2 linked regions of the Rattus norvegicus genome follow. The protein of the gene in region 1 purifies or fractionates together with the protein of each later gene. This does not show direct contact. Links are inferred from orthologs where the notes say so. Each region holds a gene or a part of one and is shown on either strand. Other genes may lie near its edges.

What was found. The genes of interacting proteins can lie anywhere in the genome.
Region 2: the proteins of Bcap31 (region 1) and Cyb5a purify together in Homo sapiens (co-immunoprecipitation; 4 studies listed by BioGRID and IntAct, with this or other methods). This does not show direct contact. The link is inferred for Rattus norvegicus from reciprocal best matches to the Homo sapiens genes BCAP31 and CYB5A.

The regions. Positions count from the first base shown.
Region 1 is NC_086039.1:156,548,359-156,551,975, forward strand, and holds the end of Bcap31 (B-cell receptor-associated protein 31), read right to left. Parts: intron 3,299-3,617; coding exon 3,178-3,298; intron 2,449-3,177; coding exon 2,348-2,448; coding exon of another isoform or gene 2,138-2,347; exon of another isoform or gene 971-2,137; coding exon 932-970; 3' UTR 553-931; downstream 1-552. UniProt on the Homo sapiens protein: Functions as a chaperone protein. Is one of the most abundant endoplasmic reticulum (ER) proteins.
Region 2 is NC_086036.1:80,486,686-80,490,935, forward strand, and holds the start of Cyb5a (cytochrome b5), read left to right. Parts: upstream 1-1,323; 5' UTR 1,324-1,394; coding exon 1,395-1,523; intron 1,524-4,250.

The sequences.
Region 1 (3,617 bases):
ATCTAGTAACTCTTCAGGGTTGGTGGGTAGTAAAGACCCAAGCACTCTGCAGTCCTTTCTCTACTGCCTTGAAGCCCCTCTCCACTGCCTTGTTCTGCAGTAGCAAGCTCTAGGTCACTGCCAAGGACAGTCTCCTTTCCCCAGTCAGCATTAGTCAGAGGTCATGCTGTAAACCTTCAGGAGGGGGTTGGGCAGGGAGTGACTGGTGGCACTCTGCCACATTCTATCTGTCCTGAATGTGATGAATAAGAAGTAAGAGAAGGCACCAGGAAGTCCTGCTGGTTTACCAGGCTTCCCAGATAGTTGCCAACTCCCAGGGAGACTGACAAGACAGACACTCCCTAAGAGTCATAAAGCAGAGTTTTCCTGACTGAAAGGAAGAGGTAGGGCAGAGGCAGAGAGCAGGAGCTTTGAGGGCAAATGTGAGTTTGGTCTTCAGGGACTAAGACAAGCTCAAGAAAAGTAAAGACTGAGCCTCTGCAGTCTTTCTGGACACTAACTTTGAGAGAGGAACAGCAGAATCATCCTCAAAGCCTCAGTTAGACACAAACACCTTGTAACATAACAACATTTATTCCCCTCAGGATAAAACAGTTGACCTGCTTAACAGCAGCCTCTTTTAGGATACATGGCAAAATAAAATGGAGTACAAGTGCAGCCCAGGTCACCAGTGCTTTTCTACACTTCTAGGAGTGGAAAGTGCCCTGGCCAGGCAGAACAGTGGCAAAATTACTGTGAATGAACAACAATCAGGTCCTTTTTGGTATAAGAGTAGTATGTGTAATGGGGCCAAAATGATCTATAAGCCATGGAAGAAAATTGGGGAAATGGAAGGGAATAAACCAAGTACCAGAGGGACAGGCTGGGCTCCAAGGAAGCAGTAAGCATGGGTCAAGTATAAGCCAGCTACAGGCAGGGAAAAACCAAGTCTTTACTCCTCCTTCTTGTCTGAGGGACCACGTACTGAGGCCTGGAAAAGGAAAGAAACCCCAAAGAACGAAGTTAGCAGGACCTGGGCCCACCCCTTTGGCCTCTAGTACTATGTCCCCAAGCACTTGGTTCCCCACTCCTGTTAATAACAAGTACCTAGGCAAGCAAGGTGCCCTAGCCCCAATAGCACCCTAAAGCTTGCCAGCCTATCCCACCCACTAGGGAAGACCCTGGGCCTAATGCCAGGGGAGGACTGGCAGTTGGAGGAGTCTACTACAATGGGATCAGAACTAAGACCTCCTCCAGAGCACACTTGGGCTAGTCTTTAAGTCCCAATGTAGGGCCTTTTCACAACTGTATACCTTCCATTAAAACCCAAATCCTTGGGGGTTAGGAGATAGCATCTGCCATAAAAGCATGAGGATCTGGGTTCAATCCTAAGATACATAGGAGGCCAGACTCTACAAGTAGTAAGGCATACTTGTAATCTCAGAGCTGGAGAGGCATGTTAGAGTCCTATAGCTAGGTAGCAAGTCTGCTTGGTAAGCTCTAGGCAAATGAGATATTCGGTCTCATAAATAAAATGGATAGCTCTTGAAGAGTGATATCCAAGGTTATCCTCTAGTGTCCACTATACAAATACAAACATGTGAATAGATACAGAGACCCAACCCCCAAGTCCTGCCCAGATAGCTTAGTATATTCTGAGGGCTCACGCACTCCCTGTGGGGATGGGCCCTTCCTATTACCTGATGTAAACCAAACAAATCTTCCTGACCATCTGAACTTCCAGCCTTATCTGGAGTTGTGAGCCTAGCCTGAAAACTCAGATCAACAAATAGTACTTACCAGGTAAGGTGACCTTTGAGGCTTTCTCTTCACTTACTTCAGACTTCGCTAAATATTACCCTTCCCCCTGCCCCATTCCACAGGAGAGGTGGACAAAAGTAGGTCTCTACAATGTTGAGGGTTTTTTTTTTGAAGCAGTGTCTTAGTATGTAGCCTAGGCTGACCTGGAGTTTTCTCAACTCTCCAGCCTCAGCTTCCTAAAGTACTAGCACTTCAGGTATGGCTACCATACCCAGCTTCCCCATGTACGTTCCTAATGAAACAGCACACCACAGCTGGGATGTCCTAGAATGTTAACCCCTCTTTAGGGGCTTGAGACTAGATTTATGGTAGGAAAGACTCGGAGCAGAGAGTAGATCTACTGACAAGGGCTGCCCTTGAACCTTGCAGGTTCTAGCCCATCATCTAGTAAGTACCATGCCACATCTCCTACAAGAAGGGTTCTGACAGCTGGGTCTGCTCTAAGCCTACACTCAGCAACAAAGGAGGCAATAGGCTCCTTAGTACCTCTAGGAACTGTGTAGGGCCCTAACCCTAACCTGCCACCTACAGATAGGGAAACACTGACCTGCAGCTTGGCGTGCTCTTCTAGCAGACGGTCATATTCTTTGGTAAGGCCCTCAGACTGCTTCTGCATAGCCAGAGCCTCGTTTTCAGCTTTCTCAAGTTCTAACAATACAAATGAATACAGGAAGAAATCAAAGGATTACCTAAGGGGGGGGGGGGCTACCTGCTTAAAACATGGGAACCTGCTTTAAACCTGTCGCAAAAATGGTTATACAGATAAGGTTCCAAAGTTTGTCAATGTTTCTGTCTTTATAAACCTCTAGAGGAAAGTTGTAAGGAAGGGATAACCCAACAGCTAGATGGAATAAAAAAATCAGAGCACCAGCCCCCTTAGTCCTTTAAATGGAGGGACACTAACCGTTCCCAGAAGGGGTTACCTTTTAACTGGTGGGCAGTGAGAGGCAATAAGCAAAATCCCAGCATCAAGACCCCTAGTGACACTGGCCAACACCTACAGTGCTGAATAAATCTGGAATTAATCTAGGAGTGAGGAGGAAAAAATAAGGGAGAAAGGGAGAATGATCACACAAATTCTTCTCCACACTTTTTTGTTCTTGGTTCCAAGGCATCTTGGGCATCCCCCATGCCTGCCTGTCTTAATGGGAAACCCCTAGTGAGCACTACTAAAGCATGCCCAGTAGCTGTTAGGGTTTCTCCAAGGCCTACTCGAATCACTGAGATGCTCTAGCCATGAACTTGTTTGATTCCATTTGGGTTGAAGGTGTGGAGTGCTATTTGTGTGCTTTCACATGAAGTGTACTAATAATACTTGATCCATGGGGCATAAATGGATAGTGGAGCTTCTGGGTGTATCAGGACAGCCATCCTCACTTTTCTTGGTGCTGGCCAGCTCATCTTTTAGCTTCTTCAGATCAGTCTTCAGGATCTTGTTCTCCTCTAACTTCATTTCAGGACTCCCAACATCCAACTTGCCTCCATCCTCAGCAGTTCCCTAGGGAAAATGTCAAGCACTTGGGTTATTCAGAAGGAAGTGAAGGTGAAGTTCCAGGCCAGTGTACTCCATAGAACTTTGATTTCTCAAGCTACTTTGAGCAATTACTGACCATTTTGGAAATATCAATACAAAACTGGGCCACTATGGAGCTCCCAGGCACAGACCAGGATATAGTTAGCTACTAAGGAAAGGAGCATCAGCTGCAAGCTCATTCATGGGCTATGCACTCTGCCTACCCTGGCCTCTAGGCCTATCTTCCCACCAGTAAAGTTCAATGGCTCTGTGTTTACCCATCAAACCAGTAACCCAACTTGCT
Region 2 (4,250 bases), on another chromosome or scaffold:
TGAACTTCTTGGAAATGGTCCTACATTATATTTTAGTTGGTTGGTGTAAAATAAAATATTCATATGTTGCATGTGAACTAAGCTGATTAGTATCCTAATACAAAGAATTTACCTTAGAAATATTTCTGAGTAACAATTACAATCGGAAAATGTTTCCTTGTGGTTAAAAAGAAAGAAACAATGAAAATAGTTTGGAATGCCTTGAGCAATGTTTATTTCCCCAAAAGCAGGTCCTCCTGGAGAGACTAAGGGAAAGGGAACTTATTTCTGTCCAAGTCCTACTGAGTTCAGGACCTTCCTGATTTTCTGGGAGGATCACTGATGTGGCTATCACTAATGTAATGGTTTTGGAGTTAATTACCATTGTTGAAAAGACCTAGAAGGGCTTTTAAAATAAGTAAATAAGTTTAGTTTTCTGTTTTTTAAAATAAGTAAATAAGTTCCCCCCACTCCTGTTTTAGACATGTGTAATTTATATATGGTATTGACTTCCTGTCAAAAGGGTAGGGGAGTGCCAGCTGGGGGAGGGACTCCAGCGCTGTGTCTAGTGCTGTTCCTTATTTAGGACTTAAATTTACAGTATGGTGAAGGATAAGAGAAAGTCTTTGCCATGTCAGGGTCTTGTGACACCGAAGTTATTTCAGGTTAAAGAAATCATTTGATGCTTCTAATTTTAATGTAGCAATTTCCTTTGCCTGTTAGATGAACCACCCCCATCCCCCTGCAGATGCCAGTGAAGCGAAATGCATGGGGCTCATTATTTGGGGCCACACATTTATTCCCAGACCTTAATCTGTGACATTTGTGTAAGAGGCTCTTTCCACTCATCTGTGGTTAAGGAAAACTACTCAGAAGGTTACTTTGGACCACTGCAATTTTCGTTCCAAGTTATTATCAGGATGTAGGGCCGCTTTGTTTAGGAAATACGCGAGTTAATGTGAAGTCGGGTCTAAAGGAAGAACCTAAGGTTAGGATGGAGTTTGCCCTGGCCCTAAAGCTTCCTCTTTAATTGGGTGCTCAGATCGCTGATCGCACCTCCCCAGCTACCAGTGACCCCACCCGCTGACTCCTGCGCAGACTCAGAAAAGCGCCTCTCCACCCAACGCGCAGGGTAAAAGTGAAGGGCTCCTCCTTTAGCCAATCAACACCGCTCTCTGAACTGGAGGGAAAATGATTGGATTAATGGAGGGCGTCGGCTGAAGGCGGGAGCACAATACTGGCCAATCCCCGGAGGCCATCAGGTCCATGCCCAGTTTGAGGCACCACCCCAGCCCGGTCCTTGGGCGCGCGTCCCGGTGGGGCTGGGAATGTCCCGGGCGGAGGCAGCTCAGACCTGATCATTGCACTACCCTGCAAGGCTGTGTTGCAGGGCCCGGAAGGCTCACTGTTCCGAAATGGCCGAGCAGTCAGACAAGGATGTGAAGTACTACACTCTGGAGGAGATTCAGAAGCACAAAGACAGCAAGAGCACCTGGGTGATCCTACATCATAAGGTGTACGATCTGACCAAGTTTCTCGAAGAGGTGAGCTGGGCACGAACGCTCCAGTGGGGCGCGGGGAAGGGTGGCCCCCGCTGTGAGTACCCCAGGCATGACCTGGGACCGAGGTCCGAAAATGCGTCATCTGAGTGCTCAAGTATTTGCGAACATTTAGGAGGGCCTTCCGCGTCTGCACACTTGTGTTCGCCTCTGAGCATGCTCACCTGCTTGTGCACACCTGTGTCTGTGCTCCTGCGTGTCTTAGGTTCGCACATCTGGGCATGCCTCTGGGAGGTCGGGAAGCACCGTTGCCGTGTGAGCTGTTTTTGTAGGCTCCGATGGGCGGAGTATTTGGGAGCCAAAGCTGAATCCTGAAAAGGTGCTCAGGAGTGTCCTGAATAAATGCTACCCACTTGCTGGGAGAGTGCACAACCGCGTAAGGATTTTGAAAGATTCTTTTTTCTTTTGTTCTTTCTTTTGTTCTCATATGAGGTTCTTTCCATGTGGAATAAAAAACTCCTCCATTTTCGAATGGACTTCTAATATTAGCCAGTTGGAGGACCTCTGGTCTTAAAAGCTAATTCCCCCAGAGGGTTCCCTAGGGTTAGAAGTACGCGAAGTTGGGGGGTACTTCCAGGGCTACTCTGATGTCCAGAGCCTCAAGTTCACTAGTGTCCTCTCAATGGTGAGAGGGAAGGTGAAGAAATGTCATTGAGAGCCTGAAGAAATGTCGACCTTAATGGAGTAGTGACTTGTGTAAGAGCCCCAGCACCAGGTGAGTGGCCCAAAGACTCCCTAGTATGTGTCTTGGGCATTTACTAGGGAAAAGAAGTAGGCAGCAGGGTACAGTCAGAAAAATGGAACTTCATCTTTAAGCTACTTTGGAAGTTGTAAAATGGCTCAAGTTAGAGGAAAACATTGCCTCTGGCAATGCTGGTCTCAAGATTGCAGTTTTTGCTGCTGAGCCCATGGGCTTGTAGTCCTTCTCTTTATTCCTTCCAGATGCACTGTTACTCATAGTCACAAGACCTCTACACTCCGCTTCCTCCCAGTAAATAAGAGTGCTTATTGATGGAGGTGATTTGCACCTTTGTTATTTATTGGTGGGCTGGGCAAAAGTAGAGGGTCAGTGTTAAATTGTAATTTACCTCAAGAGACGTTTGTTTTGCAGAGAATGTTAAACACAGAAAAAACTTGAAAGTTTGGAGTTGAAGTTTCATGGTAAAATACTTGACTGTTAATGGTAAAAATAGGGCTCCAATTTAATAAGGAGTGGTTTGAAGTGGGGACTCAGATCTGCCACCCTTCTGCTGAGGCCAGAGCAGCTTCTAAACTAACAGTCCTGTATTGTGAAGCTGAGGGCCAGGTGATTGCCTCTTCATGTGAAACCGTCCCTCTGTCTGCCCGCCCTCCTACATTACATATGTAATTCTGGAATTTTATAACAAAATGCATCCCTTGACTTTGTGTTTATAATAAAGTGCAGCACTTGTAAAAAGAAAAGGACATACAGTAGCTCCTGTTAGGGAATTGCTGCCCCCCAAATAATTGTGTATGACTTTTCAAAATCAATCTTTGAAGTAGGTAACAGGGATGAGATTATTAACTTATACTCAAAAGTTCTCTTGTTTTATTCTCATGAGTCAGGGACGGCGTGAGAGGACCCCACAGACTTACTGAGCTCAGCTGCAGGGCTAACAAGAAGCTACTTAGTTGGGAAACAAGCTGGAAAACAAATTCCTTTGTTCTGCCTACGTGTTTGGTACCTTCTCTCTGAGAATGGCTTGGGAAGAATACTTCTTGAGCGAAATAGAGAAGCTCCCTGGGAACCAGTCATCTAGGACGGTGATGGAGAGGTCAGGGTTTTCAAGAAGCACAGAGAATGGTTGGGTCCTGTTGCTTTAAGGGTTGGAGGGACAGAGGACCTACCAACCTGCTTTTCTTACCCTGCTCCCACGGTGTGCGACTGTTCTTCTATGTTGAAATGGAGCATTTTCTGAGACCGTCAGGCCTCTCGGTATATCCAGGTCTGCCTGGTGCTGATGTATTTCTTTTCTTGCCATTTGACATTTCGTAGCTTGCTACACTCCTTAACACTGCTTGTTTCACACAGCATCTTTCTTGGTCATTGGCTTTCCTCCTCTAGCATGGATTGCCTTTAGGACCTCAGTGCACCAGCAGGCACTGTATGCTTCCCTGTGCCTGACTGCTTCCTGCAGTGTGGGTTACCACTTCCACACACACCTCAACATGTTGCCACAGTTCTTCTTTCTAGATTCCTTCAGCTTCAAAGGTCTAGGTCGTTTATCTCATGCTTTGTCTTAAAACAAATATTTTACAAGGCTCAGAGTGTCTGGCCCTGTGCCCCACTTTCTACGTCTCAAGGTCCCAGAAATTTCAGGAGGTACATGAGCCAAAGAATATGTCAATCCTTGTTAATTTACAAATGAAAAGGGTGGGAGGTGCATCCTTCTTACTTTTCTGGAACTTTCTGTCACCACAGAGCTGTGTCTCCACAGGCTCTGGGTTCATCCATCTAGGTGGCCATGCTTTCCTGAGGCTGCTCTGCCCTCCATCAAGAATCCTTCATTTCTGCTGAGGAAACGTATGCTGTGGTTTGTGGTTGGTTGGCCCCTCTCTGCCGCCTGCCTTCTCTGTGCCTTAGATTCCTCACAGAAATGGGAGACTTGCAGCGCCTGGTTGCAGCTGACATAGAATTAAAGCATTTGACTAGTGTAGTGTACATGCCTGTAATCTCAGCTTCTCCAAGAC